4 linked regions of the Daphnia pulex genome follow. Each later gene encodes a partner of the first gene's protein in a complex. Links are inferred from orthologs where the notes say so. Each region holds a gene or a part of one and is shown on either strand. Other genes may lie near its edges. The genes, in order: exosome component 10-like, exosome complex exonuclease RRP44-like, exosome complex component RRP46-like and exosome complex component RRP4-like.

Region 1 (4,457 bases):
CCCGACCGCGTCCATCACCATCTTCACGCAGTGCGCTCCTTTTAAAAGCGTGATAATCAACCTGGGAATAATCAAATGGTTCGAAATTAGCCCCGCTGTCATTTCCTGCTTCTTTGCTCGCCGGTCGTTTTAATGATTTTTTCTTCATTCCTGGATTGGGGCTCTTGGATGTTGCTGGATTAGGGCTCTTGGATGCTGACGGCACTACTGCATCCGCCGACTTTTTCGATGGGGAGCTGGAGTTTGATGGAATTACAGATGTTTCAGGAGTAGCCGTTACTCGTTTAGTACTCCCTACTTTCTTCTTCTTCTTGTTAAGTCCCTGCGCTTTCAACGCCAACTTCTTTTTCTTCGCAGGAACTACTGCTACTGCTTCCGCCTCTTCTTCCATCGCTTCCGCTTCACGCTGGGCATCGGGTGTTGAATGCGCCACTTCTTCCATGAAATGTTGGCGCAACTTTTCGACACGTTGTGCTTCTGCGGCTTCTTCGGCCGACTTTAGAGCTCTGACACGAATATATCTCGTGTATGGAGAAACAAAATTAGTTGATACATTTGTCACGATGCCAGAATGAGCCGATTCGGCGAAGATTAGAGCTTGTGGGAACTCTTTTACAGTGACGCGGACTCCAAACTCCTCGGATCTTGACGCCATTGATTCGATCGTTTGCGGATTCAGCAGAGTGGGTAGGTCGTCTCGGATGTCCTGAGAATGTGTCAAGTCGTGCATACAATAAAGGGGGTCTTCGGTGTCTTGATCCAATGGAGTCGGCATCATTTTCGGGATGGCTAATGGCTGGCCGTGATGTTGTAGAGTGGCGAGAGGCATTTCTCTGGCTTTTAATATGATTCCATGGAGATGAAGTAAATGCTGACGAACGAGCGAAGGGATAGGTGAACAACAGGCAAGGATACCTTGCATCTCCTTAGGTAGAACATCGGCGATTTGTAACAACATGTGTTTGGGTAGAACAAAACCAGTGCTCTCGTCTTCTTCTCGAGCTATTCGATCGCGCCAAGCAAACAGTTCTTTTAATGCAAACAGCTGACGTTCGTTGAAAATCTTCTTGCTGAGCCTATACAATTCCAAGTGACTTTCGGCAGTGATAGGGGGAATTCTGTAACGTTTGAGACAAACCAGTCGGCTGTTTTGCCAAACTGCTGTCAGCAAATTATCTCCTGTTCCCTTCATCTTCAAATCCTTTTTCATCTTTTCGTAAATGTATCCTAGGTAGTGGGTATCTTCTCGAGCATAATTGACCATTTGCTCAGGCAAGGGACGAATTCGCCAATCGGCTAGCTGGTATTGTTTGTCAGCAATAACTTGGCAATAATGACGAAGGAGGAAGGACAAGGACAGCTGTGCAAAACCCAATAATTTGGCAGCGTGATAAGTGTCAAAAAGATTAACGACGTAGATACCGAAATCGCGCTGAAGCCACTGAATATCCATATCAGCTCCATGAAAAATCTAAACGAAAACCAACAAAATAAGTTTGTTACTTCTTCAATTAAACAGTTAGCTCATACCTTAACAATCTTTGGGTTGCAGAAAACTTCATTTAAAGGCTGTAGTTGATCCCATAGCTCTAAAGTGTCTATAATGTAGTCAGAACTGCTTGTTGAAATTTGCATTAAGCATGTTAGGCCTTGAAAGGATCTATATGAATGGGCCTGGCAATAAATAATTAAGGAACTTAATAAGGTTCACCAATTTAAAAACTGCTAGACAGTGAATAATACCTCCAGATCTACAGCAATCACAGTTTCCTCAAGCAAAACTTTCAAAAGACTTTTTAAACCTTCTTCAGTATCTATCATTACCAAAGGGATTTCTTGAACACTTGGGAATGGAGGCACTTCATCAAGTACGGTGAAGAACTTTGGATCCGGTGTAAAACGTTCCAATTCAAATTCGTACGGATGGCTAAACTCTTCATCGCCCAAGTCATTCAATTCTAATAGTATCGCCAGTGGTTTCAACGAATGAGGCTTATCTTTGATTTTGGGGATAAACGGTCCAGGTGAATTCTTGATTTTCTCTTTGAATTTCAACTGTGGTCTCAGAATGTTTTTAGCAGAAAGAAGTTTGTAAGAGGTTGCTGGTGAACTCTGTAAACAAGATGAATACTTTATAGATTCAGCATCTAAGACAACAATTGGTATGAAAAACTAGATACCACAGAATGCCGATTCCAACTGCCATTAATATTTGTAGTTTTTGCCATCATCTCAACAACTACAGTTTCTGCTTGTTTTTTTAATCCAGCAGCTTCATCTAGAGAAAGATTCTGAAACGAAAGCAGTTTTTTTTAACAGGTGTAAAATTCTAATAATTCCTAGTAGCATACTATTCGCTCCATCAAGATGTCATTGTTGTCCGACACCAGCTCCATCTGCTCTTCCAAATCCAATTTTCCCACCTTTCCTGTTAGTCCATAGTGTCCGTAAATTGTGGTCATCCTTGACAAATAAAAATTTTAGGATCAAACAAAATTCTTATACTTAACGGTAGCTGTAACTCACAAGTTAGTAATGCGACCACCAAATTCTTTCATTGCGCTGGCATATGCTGGATAACTTTGGTAGTAATCCCAGTCTGAACCACTACTTGGTAATTCATTAGAGTACTTTGTGACCTTCATTGCACTTTGAAATAATTTCTAAATAAACAGAGAAAATCAAGTTGTGACTGATATGAAATTTCAAAATGTTTGGCCAGCCAATGCTCTACCTGTTGAACCTCTTGGGCATTTCCATTCTTCTCACTTTCTTTTTCACTCATTTTAAAAATATTCTCTGATCATCAATTGCAACAAAATCTTATTGCGATTATTCACAGAAAACATTAAGCACGTGAATCGCCTTGTTTCAGTCTCGCCGTTGACCAAAGAATCATGCTTTCAGAATCCACTTGTCGTCTGCTACATTATGCATGTAATACACCGTTAGTTAAACAGTTGATTTATTTATTATTAAACTTAAAAAGGATCTATATTACTTAATTAATTGAATATCTATGAACAAGTAAAATATTTAGTAAATTTAGAATATTTTTCAACCCACGACTAAATATTTTTTATTCATTTGAAAATGCTATTGCGCTTTAAAATTCTGCCAAGGGCGTTATAAAAGTTCCCCGAAAATAACAAATCAACAAGTGCCTTGACCATCATTCTTTTCCATAAAATAATAACAATTTTAATCCCGCCGTAAAAATGTTTGCACTAGTTGTTTATTAACTTGGACTTTCGTTATTGAGTACTTATAAAGGTTCACTGTGTCATCCAAACTTGTCGTTTTTGCGAAGGTAACTAATATATGACAGACGCTTGAAACGATCGAAAGATTTTCTTATATTGCTTTCTTTTTCAGCACATAACAATGCACGCTGTTGTCGTTGTGACTGGAGGGATTTTGACTTCCGTATTCATTGCTGCTCTCCTTGCGCTATTGTTTATATGCAGATATAAACTATGTTGCTTTAATCTTGGTTCTAAATTTAAGAAGAAGGAACAAAGCCCACAAGTGCAGCAGAATGGATTCCATGTGAGGTAACTATCTCAAAAACGAACAAAGACTTCTTTCGCAGTTGGGAGTAATTTTGCTTTTGAATTTCCCAGTAGGTCTGATATTCATCTAATCAGTAGCCTAGAGATGGAAGATGAAGACTACATCATGGACAATATTGATCCTGAAGATTTAGTGATTCACCCTGACTTGGACAAAGTTCTAGAATCTCACAGATGGAAATGGGTGGACGATGCCCTTGGAATTGTTCCTCATTGCCTTCAGATTTTAAAAGGCTGTCACTTGATGAGTGAAAGGCTTGTGACTACAGCTATGGCTTCTACAGATCAACAGAGATTTGTTGAATTGGCAATGGTACAACTCTCATTATCTAAAAGAAAAATAATTGCATGCATTTCTGTTATGTTGGAATTCAGTTGTGACACTCCAAAGATTACTATGTGTCTGAAAGTTCTGTTGTGTTTTAGGTTGCAAAATCTGTCCTTCCATTAGTTGACGACGTCTTGCGTTCCATGTGCCCACCCATTCAACCACGCGATGTCGAAATCCGAGCCTTTGCCCTCTTGAATGCTGTCAACCGCTTGAGCAAACTCACCGAGCGAACATGCAATGTGTCGTGGCCATCAGCTATTTTCGAAGAGATGAATATGCATTACCAGGTAACGTGCATCTTTTAAATGCTACACGACTTGTTTGCTTGGAAACGCGAACTGGCTCTGAATGTTCTCGATACTATCTGCTTAACTTTTCATTAATTTGTACTGCAGAAACTCAAAGCCATCGCCCGGCGCTCTGAAACTCAATTATGGAACGAACGAAATCTTTACAGGGAAGGTGTGACCATAGTCGAATCATCCATGACTTGAAACACGAATAATCTCGAAAACCTTCGTAATCTCCGTCCAAAATATCACAACGTATCTTAA
Region 2 (4,514 bases), on another chromosome or scaffold:
CAAATTGTACAATGTTCTTGAAGGCGTTTCCAAACAAGTTTATTATTCATGAGAAATGATTTTTCACATCGTTAATATATCGGCAGCTTTAGTTTCTACCAGAGTCTCCACCGATTCAATATCCTTACACCAATTCTCTAATCGGGTCATCATCGAGGACAGCTAGCAAGAAAAAATGTCAAATTTCTTACTAAAACTAAATGCCAATCATAACAAAATACCTGTTTCTTATCGAGAACACGAGGTTGGACCCAAGTGAAATGCGCAATAGAATCAACTTGATCAATTGTACCCTTCAAGAGTCCTTGCGCAAGAGCTTTCATTACTAGCAGCTCCACTTCATCTTCCCTGGCTCCTGTGCTGGCAGCAATGTCCTTGAATGACAAATTGCGTTTGGTGGCCGGGCGTTTGAAAGTCATCTAAACAAAAGAAAATGTCAACTTTTACTGCTTTAAAAAAAATAGTAAACCTTGCTATACCTCCATCAGAGCTAAAAGTGTTATTTTCTGCAGCACAAGTCGTTCATTGTTGACGAGATCTGCTTGTGAAGACCATTTCGATCTTAGTTTGTGGAATCCTGCAATATCTCCTGCATTCATTATGAATAAGAGGTCAACCAACCAACTCTCTTCCTGGTCCTTCAACGATTCCAAGACAGGATGGGCCAACTGCATTGCGATATGTTAGCTACATTTCACAAAGATGTTATCATATAAACATACCAGTTCACCAAGATTGTAAATTCCTTCTCCAAGCAAGGCAGCAATACCAAGGTGAAAAGCTTGGCTCTTCTGTTCAGCATTGCTTAAACTTGTGAGTTCAATACAACCCAAGTACCTATTCAAGTTATGAAAGATAAAGAAAATAATGAATAGAATGAAAATCAAGTTTGTATGACAACTTCTACTACCTCAAGGATGCACGATAGAAATCTGCATGCTTGCCATAAATACGGTAAAAGTCACTACAAAGAGAGTAGTATCTTCCATGAACAGGAGTCACTCCATCTGTATCATCAAGGATTTTGCCGATTTCTTCCATGATATTCTTAGTTTCAACTTGATCTCCTTTTTCATGTAAAATAATGCCTCCACTGAGGACTTTACAAAGAGCTAATGCTTCTTTGTTAGCCTTCACTTTTTCTTGAAGCTGCTTGAGAAAAGCTAAGCGCTCTTCCACAGTCCCCATTTGCTTCACAATGATGGCACATATCTCGGTAAGTGACAGAAGATTAATTCTAGGCACAAGAAAAATGATTAATAAAACATTTAAAAAAATTACTTGATAAAGAAGGAACTTACTTGTTCTCAAAGTCGGCCACAAAATTTTCGTATAGCTGTACAAGTTCATTATTTGATTGAAGACTCGGATGTTTGACGAAATCGAGCATCTCGATGGTAAGCTGATGCCATAGTTTTTTGTTATAGAGACTTTCAAGTTTTGCCCATTCTGCTGCCAAGTCTTGATCCACGGTATTTTGCTTAGAGTTGAGATATTTCGCGACGTCCCTCATTCTGAAATCTATTGAACCGGTCAATATTCACGTCTTCAAACAATCGCTACTCGGATGACGAGACGATTTTTTTCACTCAATTTTCTGTCAAGAAAAATGAAGAAACAATGTTGCCAGGTCACCTAGTAGAGAAGAAGCAGGTTTCCGCCGAATTGAATTTCGTCTGCTCTGTTTCTGCACGTTGTTGAATTTAACAGAAGTTGGAACAAACTGGATTAATAATTTAGACGAAAATTTGAATAGGCAACATGCTTACAAGTAAAGTGTTTTTACGAAAAACGAAAAGAGGTAAATGCTTTGAACACAAATGTCTGCCCATCTTTGTCTCATCATTGTAAATTCCAGGAAAGGTTTTGAAAGTAGTCAGAGAGCATTACCTTAGAGATGACCTATGGTGTGGTTCTGAGCTGTGTAAAAAATGCGGCCAAGAAAACAGCGATGTGCTAGACAAGTCTCCTGTGTCGTCTAGTACACTTTGTGCCTTCCCTCATTATATTGTGATTGACACCAACATTGTGCTACATCAGGTATTTAACATTTATTTGTACGATGAATTACGCTATAAAATGATTTGTTGTTGCACAGATTGATGTGTTGGAGAGTTCAGCTTGGAAAAATGTTATCCTGTTGCAAACAGTATTGGAAGAAACCAGGAAGCGTAGCACAAATAATTACAAAAAGTTGAGAGAGATTATGGCGACAAGAAAAGACAGCTTTTATGTTTTTGTCAATGAACATCACAAGTATCTTTTGTTTCTGCATTTCTAAATATTCCCTAGGTATTTTAACCATTATATTTGACAGAGATACTTATGTTGAAAGAAAGCCTGGTGAAAGTGCAAATGACAGAAATGATAGAGCTATTCGAAAAGCTTGCAGTTGGTATCAAACTCACTTGGAAGAAAGCCAGAAAGGAAATGACAAGAAAAAACAGATCAAGGTTGTTTTGTTGACTCAGGATTTTAAGAACAGAGAGCAAGCATGTAATGAGGGGATCCCTACTTATAAAGGTAAACAACACAATTTTAAACCATTTTATTTGTTGACTAAATGTTATGATTTTCAATTCCAGTGGATGAGTATGTGAAGAGCTTGAAAGATTTTCCAGATCTTCAAGAAAAGCTAGCTGCCTCACATTCCGAAAGTAATAACGAAAATCGTGAACCATTGTATCCCGAGCATTTAGCTCCCACCAGAATTATGTCGGGAATTAAATCTGGAAAGCTACTCCAAGGGGTTTTCCACTCTTCAAGGTGATTTCGCCTGGTACATATACATATATGCTACAATCTTTAACACTTTTTCTTTCCCTCATCAGAGAAAATTTTTTGGAAGGAACTGTTAGTGTTGAAGGACAAGATAAATCCATTCTCTTGCAAGGCCATGCCAGTTTGAATCGCGCAGTTGACGGTGATGTTGTCGCTGTTGAATTGCTACCGGGTATGATTTATCAATAATTTATTTGCTTCAACAGATTTATAATATTTTATTAAGAGGACAAATGGACATCCCCTAGCGGCATCGTTTTGGAGGATCAAGAAGAGCAAGATCCTGGTAACATACATTTCGAGAATATGCGCAATTTCATTTGCCTTATTAATTTTTACTTTATAGGTGATGAAATTGAGAAAGAAGAAAAATTATTGATTGATAGCACGAAAAGCAAGGATCGCCAACCAACTGGTTAGCAGAGTAGATTTCCACTCATTCGCTTTTTCTTATCAGTTATTTGACTGTTTAATTTATAGGTAAAATCGTTGGAATTATTCGTCGTAAATGGCGCCAATATTGCGGAATATTGCTTCCCAGTGTTCTTCCAGAAGGGACTCGCCACCTTTTCGTTCCGGCTGAAAGGAAAATTCCGAAAATTCGCATTGAAACTCGCCAAGCTGTAACGTTGTCTACGCAAAAAATAATAGTTGCGATCGATTCATGGCCTCGTACTTCAAGATATCCACTCGGTCATTTCGTTCGTGCTTTGGGTAACATCGGCGACAAAGACACTGAAAATGAGGTGACAATTTATACGGGATTTGCAAATTTTTCTTATTCTAAGCTGGTTTCATTTCTTTTTTTCTCTAGGTTCTTTTGTTGGAGCATGGTAATTGTTACTGTTACTCTTCTTTTCATAATCTAAACTAGATCCTTGTGAACGTCATTATTCGATTATTTCGTTATCTAGATGTGCCGCACCATAGCTTCCCAGAAACAGTGTTGGCTTGTTTGCCTACGATGCCATGGATGATAACGGAAGAGGAAGTGAAACGTCGCGAAGACTTGCGCCACTTAGATATTTGCAGTGTTGATCCACCGGGGTGTACAGATATCGACGACGCTCTCCATTTCAGAGAATTGTCACCGAATCTATATGAAATTGGAGTTCATATTGCGGATGTTTCACATTTCGTCAGGCCAGATACTGCACTTGATAAAGAAGCTGCCAACAGGTATTGCATTTCATGTGGAAATACTGTCAGCTATATTTTCATGTGTATTACTTTGGCAGAGGAACAACCGTTTACCTTGTTGACCGCCGTATCGACATGGTCCCTGAACTTTTAAGTTCAAATCTCTGTTCTTTGAGGCCGGATCAAGAACGACTCGCATTTTCTGTTATTTGGCAAGTGACTGCAGATGCTGAAATTCAAAAAACTCGTTTTACGAAAAGTGTGATACGATCTCGTCGAGCTTTCACCTATGCGGAAGCTCAGTGCAACATTGATGATTCACTTCAACAAAATGAATTGGCCAAAAGCCTTCGTGGGTTAAATAAATTGGCTAAAATATTGAAGAAAAACCGTATGGACAAAGGGTATGTACAAAGAAAGTGTTGGAATGACGCAACAGTTCTTGTTGTTTAACCTTAAATTTATTTAAGTGCGTTGCAGTTATCAAGCCCTGAGATTAGGTTTGAGGTCAGCACTGAGACAAACGACCCTATTGATGTAATTTCAAAACCAATGCTGGACACCAATAGTATGGTAGAAGAGTTCATGTTGTT
Region 3 (3,212 bases), on another chromosome or scaffold:
TCTGGAGAGGGCAAAAAAGGGCGAATTGCGTGAACAAACTGATGGGACTAGGATTCATTCGCCAAAATCCTGGATAGTAACACAGAAAACGTCAGCAACAGCTAAAAGCTTGAAAAGGAACGAGTTTCATCAAATATTTGACATGTCAATGCACAAGACATTTTTCCTTCCATCTCAATCATCCTAAATCCAATATCGCAACGTGGCTGCTGAAGAAATCGATTGGCCCCCTCTTGAAAAGAGATTATTTCTAATCATCCAACCTTATTGATCATTTAAAGCAGGATTGTGTCAACAGTTCCCAGTGGAAGTGGATGGGAAAATATGGAGAAAAATTCCGAATACAACAGCTTAGCAACTTAAAAGGCAAAAATATACACGGCAAACACACTTAAGCAACGACAGTGATGACGTAATATAATCAAAACAAAAAAGCTCTCTGGTTACTACAATAAAGGCGTTGTCAGGTGTATAGTGATGCATGGACGTGGAGGTAATTGGATCGGCGTGTAATGTTCAAAAACACTTACCCGTTGATTAATAAAGTTGCAGGCCAAATCTTTGAGCGTTTTCAGCGTTAACTGGGAGGCATCCGTGGAGATAAAGTCTCGTACCAGTCCAACTTGGAACATAAAGGTCACCTGACCATTACCATCATCCATGATGGAGCTTGGATCCAAAATTTTATGAAAAACACAATCACAATTATGGCGAAGTTTGACTTTTGGATGGCAGTGAAATTCGCACACACACAAAACTGGCCCTTTTTCGTTGGAATAGTCTGTGTGGTTGGTGTGTGTGTGTGCAATCAGGTGGGAGCAATGGAGTAAAAAAAAAAAAAAAACGGGTTCCAGCAACCAACAGGTTGATTGGAATGTCACATAGCCTCGGGCTGAGATCACCTTTTCTTTCGTCGTTCTCCCGCCCTGGCACCACTTAGATTTTTCCTTTTCTTTCTTCTTCAAAGAAAAAAGGTTGGGTTTTTACCTCCACTTGATTGCACGACAAAACTGAGCAACACGACTGTTTTAAAACCAACACAGATGGGAGCAGCACAACGCGTGATAACACGTTGGTGATGAAAAAAGTCGGTGCGAATAAGAGGGACTGGCTAATGGAAATGCCCAAACTAAATTCAATTAATACGCAGGTTTCCCAATCATGATGGCACACACAAAAAATTCACGTATAAACATCACACACACACACACACACACTAGCACACTTTACGTTCTCTCGAGAAATGCAGAAACAGACTCACGTACGTGTGTGTGTGTGTTTCTGACCGTGCAGCTCAAGTCACGATAACTTGGTAGTCTGCCGAGCTAATAAATACTGTCGCTACTCGGAGATCCGTCTTTGGCTTGCTCACAATTTTCTGGCCAAAAACAGCGTTGCCATTCTCTCGTGACTGAACGAACGAAATCCATGAAAAATACATATTCATAGCTACATTGGAAAATTGTGAATTTTTCAGGTCTTCTTTATTACAAATATAATAGTTGTTTTAAATTCATGGAGTTAAAAGTTATATTTTGTGTGATTAAGTAAATGGTTGCCATGGTAACTTAGAGACATCTGCAGACTGCTGTTGCCGACCCGTCAACCCCATGTATTTTTTACGATCACGTTGCTTATGCAGAAACAGGGCTGCGTTCTTAATCTGAATTATTGAATACTTTTTCAATCACAAAGAATTGCTTGCAATATTATTATTCGCCATGGAGACTGAAGAGAATAGCATTCGTGCTTTAAAGTGCGAACAAAGCGTACTGTCACGTGCAGATGGCTCGGTGATGTTTTCTCAAGGTAAGTTTAGATTTGTAACTTTTTCCACGCTGTTTTCGTGTTATTTTGTCCAAGTCGGTAAATTTTATTTTATTGACTTGTCATTTCAGGGAATACTGTGGTAATGGCTTCAGTTTATGGACCTTTGGAGGCTAAAATTCAAAAGGAACTGTCCGATAGAATGTACATTGAACTAAACTACAAGCCAAAAACAGGAATGCCAGGTTATTAATAACTTATCCTGTGTATTATTATTTCTGTAATATTGAATGCATTTTTATTTAGGTGTTGCTGAGCGTGGAAAGGAGAAACTCATCAAGACCACTTGTAATCACATTATTTTGACGAACCTGCACCCTCGAACAGCTGTCTGCATAACAGTTCAAGAAATGCAAGATGGTGGAACTGTAAGCACTTACCACAACAAATTTATTTTGATCAAGAATTAGTTGTTCACATTTTCCATAAACTAGTTGCTAGCAGCCTCCATCAATGCTGTGTGCCTTGCACTTCTTGACTCGGGTTTACCCCTGCAGTGTCTTGTAGCTGCAGTGACTTGTTTGGTAGACAAGAAGGATAGAATTGTCCTAGACCCATGCATCAGCACAGTCAAAGTATGATTTCCACTAAGAATTAACTAATTTTTTTCCCCCATTTTTTGTTGTTGTGCCTAACTTACTTTTTTCCCCATTACAGGAAGGTTATAAAGCAATGTTTACCTTTGCTTTTGACAGTCAAAAATACAACTTAATTCTGAGCCACTGTGAAGGCCAAGTTCCCTATCAACTTTTTCAAAAAGCCATGGAGCTGTGTCAGAAAGCCAGTCACGTCATCTTTGATTTCTACCGGCAAGCAGTACTACGAAAGTTTTCCAACGAACTTCTGTAAAACTTTCAAAAAATACACATTTTAAAGTTTTGTATATGCGACTGAAAACAAAGTATAATTGTATAAGTATAGGCTTGCTTATTTCCAGTATCGTTAAATTTCTTCGGAAAACCAATCCATCCTAATATGTCATGCGCATCTAGCAATACTCGAGTAATCACGTTCACCAAAACTATATCTAGAAGGTTTCCTGCCCGGAGCTTGGCTCCAATGCAATGCGGTACAATTTTGACACAAGTTATTTAGGTATAGTAAAAGTGCCGATTGTGAAATCAGAAAAAAAATAAACTTAACTTTGAAACAAACTCTTCTTAGAATGACATATGGTAGGTAGTTCTACCATTTTTAGGATTTATTCGGTCGGAAAATGTAGCATAAAGGAATTTCTTTTATGGTTATTCTGAAAATTTATTTCAAGGTGGTCTGGATATATCGAGTGCGATTTCAGCCTTTACGGTAATAGGCCTTGAAATGTTTTTCTCAATTAGAAAGTTTAGCCAATTAGGCTGTCAAGTCAAAGTCAACACAAATAAAGC
Region 4 (3,509 bases), on another chromosome or scaffold:
TCCACCTGCGAATCCTTTCGCCCCGAAAAAACCATTGGCCTATTGGGAATAAATCAATCAAATTAAATGGGAGAACGTTTGTTTGAATGGTGATAGGGGCTTACCAGAGGATGTGCCATGAGAATGTGAACATTTGGCTGGGACGCTTCTAGCAAACTATCCATATAGTCCTGAGTCAGGTTGAAGTACCCGGTTGCTAGACATAATTCGGCGTTTGCCGGTACGTTTTCTAGAATCTCGCGCGTCAAGATGTTATCCATGTAAATGTTTAGCTGCCCCATCTGGACGAAAGGGAAGATCCAGGTGTCGTAAGCAGACGGATTCGGCCATTGAAATATCGAGGACGAAACATTTGCTTTTATTTGCTTTTCAAACAAGTTGTTGATTCTCCGTTTTGCTTCTTCTGTAAATTCAAGCCGATTGGATTCAAACGGATGGTGAGGAAAAGCGGAATTCAAGTTAAGGCAGTTGTTTTCACTTAAATGAAATGAAAACTGGCACACAGTTTCTACTAGTTGGTCAAAGAAATCCACTAAATCTTTGCAATCTTCCATAATTATGTATCGATCTTGCCGATTTGTGAAGTAATCGTGGCTTAAATTTGCGCCACTGATTAATAAGGAATCGTCAAATATGTAAATCTTCATATGTTGCAAGCCAATAATTTCATTCCATCTTTCTGGGAGAATTTTCTTTAATAATCCTCTAAGTGCTGGAGTGTGATAAAAATGGACTGAACACTGCTGGCTGTAGGACTGAACTAAGGGAAGCAGCATTGTACGGGAATTGAATTGGGCACCTCTAGAGCCTCTTGTTGCATCCAACAGAATTCGAACTTTCAGGCTGGAGCCAGAGTTTTTCTTCAAAGTACTTTCAATTGTTTTTACAAGCTCATTTTCATGATTTCCTGTTCCAAGATATAAGGATGCAAAAGTGACTCTTTGACTTGCTTGACTAGTCTTTTCAATAAGTGTTTTGTAGAAATCTTCAGGATCAGACAAAACTCGAACCTAAGAAAAAATTTTACAACTATTACTAGAAGACACTAATAAAATACCTTATTAGAACACTAACCTTATTTCCGTTCACAGGGAAACAAGGGGTTTTACTTCCGAGCCATCTGAAATTTTCAAGGGTCGTTAACAGTTCCGTTCTCTGCTGTTCATCACTGTCGGGTTCCATTTCGGGACGATGCTGGAGATGAAGTGATCTCGAGACAAGGTTACGTTGCCAACCTCTGCGAGCAGTCTTGGGAAGGAAGTGCCAAGATACTCGTTGTCGCCCAGCAACGCATATCGTTGTTGAAAAAAGTATTGCTTTTTGGCAAATTAGTGACATTTACTTGTACGGACGAATGAAATGAATCGGCATATAAACAAACAGACATCTGATGGCAAAAATTAATACTAATGTGATTCGCGCAATGTTTTATTTGATTCGTTAAAAAAATTTCAGTTGACTTTATATTTTCCATTTCGAACATAAGTTAATTAGTCGATTTAAATTGCACAATATCATTTTGACAAGAATATCCACAAATATTTATATTCTTAAATATTTTGATATCGCCATAGCTTAGGCAACGTAGCAGCATGGTATAGCAGAACACGATGAATTATTGTCATTTTCAAGTGTGCTGTTGTTTCCTTTTTTTTGAACTTGATACATTAGGATAATTAAAACCAAAAGAATGGTAGACATTCGCCTTGCTTCTGAAGTGCCTCCTTTTCATATCGTCGCTGATTCTACTGAACCCAAACATCTTGTCACACCTGGCTCTTTGATCACAAAGGAAACAGGATTCATGAGGTAGATTGTTAAAAGTTTTGCCATTTTCTTGATGATAATCTTATTTTATGTTTTGCTAAGGGGTCATGGAACATACATGCAAGATGACTGTTTGTACTCCAGTGTTGCTGGAGTTGTGGAGAGAGTCAACCAACTTATTTCAGTTAGACCCTTGAAATCTCGTTATCATGGGGAGATTGGAGATGTCGTAATTGGTAGGGTTACTGAGGTTTCACAGAAACGTTGGAAACTGGACACCAATGCAAGATTAGATTCAGTGCTTCTTCTTCAGTCAGTCAATTTGCCTGGTGGTGAACTCGTAAGAAAGACTTTTTATTTGTGCAATTACACAAATATTTATATCTCATAATGCTTTTAGAGAAGAAGATCAGCAGAAGATGAATTAGCCATGAGGCAATACCTGAAAGAAGGAGATTTGGTCAGTGCAGAGGTTCAAAACATCTTCAATGATGGAGCTCTTTCTTTACACACCCGCAGCATGAAATATGGAAAAGTATAACAATAAGTTATTTAAAATATTAACTGTAATAACAACCATTTATCTGTTATAGCTTTCCCAAGGTTGCCTAATAAAAGTTAGTCCATCTTTGATCCGAAGACAGAAGACTCATTTCCACAACTTGCCTTGCGGAGCAAGTATCATTATGGGTAACAATGGATTTGTTTGGATCTGCCCTACGCTCCTTGACGATGGCGCCGGTGGATTTGTTCAAAACTTGGAGGTGCGTACTAAAAAGTCGATGTTTGTACATTATCACGTGGAAGCTAATTCTGTTGAAACCTATAGACAGTTCCGCATGCCGATCGACAAGCTATAAGCCGGTTAAGGAATTGTGTGACAGCTTTGGCGCACTGCAAGATGATGATCTATGATACCAGCATTATGCATGCCTACGAAGCCTCCGTAAATGCTGGGCTTGAGGTAATTATTTTTACATTGAAACTAAATAATTCAATGCTAACTTATATAATGCTTTTATGTAGATCAAGGATCTTCTCCTACCGGACAAGATAAAAGAAATCGCTTTAATGGTTCGTAAGCAGTTCGAAATGGAAAAAGAATAATTTAATTTTCGAATAAACATGGCTCAGGCTGAACCAGAAGTTGACATTCGATTTCCCAAACATTAATGGTGTGGATCAGTTTATTCATACTGCAGACAAAGTTTTATTCTGGGGCAGGGAAAAACATAAACGAAGAAACATTCGATAATAAAGGCGGTTTTTTTTTGTTTCCAACTACAACCGGTTTCCCAAGAATATTAAAATTTTGTAGACTTCATTTATAAGTCATCCCCCCCACAAATCATATTTACATTAAAACAAGTGTGCTAGAGAAAACCAGGATAAGATCTGCCGTAAGCACCACTCAACAAAATGCCCTGGGCTAGTTTTGAAACACCTAAAAAGATTATATAGGATAATAAATTACTAATGGACCCCGTTCCCTAGGTCCACCAAGGAAGGAAAAAAAAAAGATTTAACCGGAAGTCATGTTAAAGCGCTGCTTTAACAAATCAAGCAAATAATAATTAACAAAAAAAAAAAATAATGATAAATAGAAACAATGAATATCTAGCGAAATTCCGTGACGACGAATGGATAACGATTATGTTTAGGAGGGCTTCACGATTGGAAAATGTCCCGTGTTTTTAGATATTAGGATTCCACCTTGATTAGATGGGTTTGTAATCTTAGAC

Evidence for each region.
Region 2: exosome component 10-like (region 1) and exosome complex exonuclease RRP44-like share a complex: the UniProt entries of both Caenorhabditis elegans proteins name them as parts of the RNA exosome complex. The link is inferred for Daphnia pulex from reciprocal best matches to the Caenorhabditis elegans genes crn-3 and dis-3.
Region 3: exosome component 10-like (region 1) and exosome complex component RRP46-like share a complex: the UniProt entries of both Caenorhabditis elegans proteins name them as parts of the RNA exosome complex. The link is inferred for Daphnia pulex from reciprocal best matches to the Caenorhabditis elegans genes crn-3 and crn-5.
Region 4: exosome component 10-like (region 1) and exosome complex component RRP4-like share a complex: the UniProt entries of both Caenorhabditis elegans proteins name them as parts of the RNA exosome complex. The link is inferred for Daphnia pulex from reciprocal best matches to the Caenorhabditis elegans genes crn-3 and exos-2.

Annotation. Positions count from the first base shown.
Region 1 is NC_060022.1:1,682,220-1,686,676, forward strand, and holds the start of exosome component 10-like, read right to left. Parts: upstream 2,969-4,457; 5' UTR 2,786-2,968; coding exon 2,735-2,785; intron 2,664-2,734; coding exon 2,527-2,663; intron 2,464-2,526; coding exon 2,352-2,463; intron 2,292-2,351; coding exon 2,181-2,291; intron 2,113-2,180; coding exon 1,744-2,112; intron 1,675-1,743; coding exon 1,531-1,674; intron 1,472-1,530; coding exon 1-1,471. Other genes in the region: transmembrane protein 98-like, read left to right, coding at 3,385-3,554, 3,624-3,885, 3,999-4,190, 4,299-4,397. UniProt on the Caenorhabditis elegans protein: Catalytic component of the RNA exosome complex which has 3'->5' exoribonuclease activity and participates in a multitude of cellular RNA processing and degradation events. Involved in apoptotic DNA degradation.
Region 2 is NC_060019.1:10,637,936-10,642,449, reverse strand, and holds the start of exosome complex exonuclease RRP44-like, read left to right. Parts: upstream 1-1,646; 5' UTR 1,647-1,761; coding exon 1,762-1,801; intron 1,802-1,858; coding exon 1,859-2,040; intron 2,041-2,098; coding exon 2,099-2,256; intron 2,257-2,317; coding exon 2,318-2,523; intron 2,524-2,585; coding exon 2,586-2,766; intron 2,767-2,831; coding exon 2,832-2,953; intron 2,954-3,007; coding exon 3,008-3,067; intron 3,068-3,127; coding exon 3,128-3,196; intron 3,197-3,261; coding exon 3,262-3,527; intron 3,528-3,595; coding exon 3,596-3,614; intron 3,615-3,695; coding exon 3,696-3,960; intron 3,961-4,019; coding exon 4,020-4,325; intron 4,326-4,391; coding exon 4,392-4,514. Other genes in the region: 26S proteasome non-ATPase regulatory subunit 13-like, read right to left, coding at 64-162, 222-419, 480-668, 723-837, 911-1,237, 1,302-1,513. UniProt on the Caenorhabditis elegans protein: Putative catalytic component of the RNA exosome complex which has 3'->5' exoribonuclease activity and participates in a multitude of cellular RNA processing and degradation events. Has both 3'-5' exonuclease and endonuclease activities.
Region 3 is NC_060020.1:3,912,495-3,915,706, forward strand, and holds exosome complex component RRP46-like, read left to right. Parts: upstream 1-1,572; 5' UTR 1,573-1,721; coding exon 1,722-1,809; intron 1,810-1,898; coding exon 1,899-2,012; intron 2,013-2,073; coding exon 2,074-2,195; intron 2,196-2,261; coding exon 2,262-2,402; intron 2,403-2,484; coding exon 2,485-2,676; 3' UTR 2,677-2,710; downstream 2,711-3,212. Other genes in the region: serine/threonine-protein kinase D1-like, read right to left, coding at 531-662. UniProt on the Caenorhabditis elegans protein: Non-catalytic component of the RNA exosome complex which has 3'->5' exoribonuclease activity and participates in a multitude of cellular RNA processing and degradation events. Involved in apoptotic DNA degradation.
Region 4 is NC_060023.1:8,701,309-8,704,817, reverse strand, and holds exosome complex component RRP4-like, read left to right. Parts: upstream 1-1,576; 5' UTR 1,577-1,690; coding exon 1,691-1,809; intron 1,810-1,869; coding exon 1,870-2,107; intron 2,108-2,167; coding exon 2,168-2,302; intron 2,303-2,360; coding exon 2,361-2,531; intron 2,532-2,596; coding exon 2,597-2,731; intron 2,732-2,793; coding exon 2,794-2,874; 3' UTR 2,875-2,907; downstream 2,908-3,509. Other genes in the region: CDP-diacylglycerol--glycerol-3-phosphate 3-phosphatidyltransferase, mitochondrial-like, read right to left, coding at 1-39, 105-1,010, 1,075-1,338; uncharacterized protein LOC124197887, read right to left, coding at 3,504-3,509. UniProt on the Caenorhabditis elegans protein: Non-catalytic component of the RNA exosome complex which has 3'->5' exoribonuclease activity and participates in a multitude of cellular RNA processing and degradation events. Involved in regulation of antisense ribosomal siRNA production.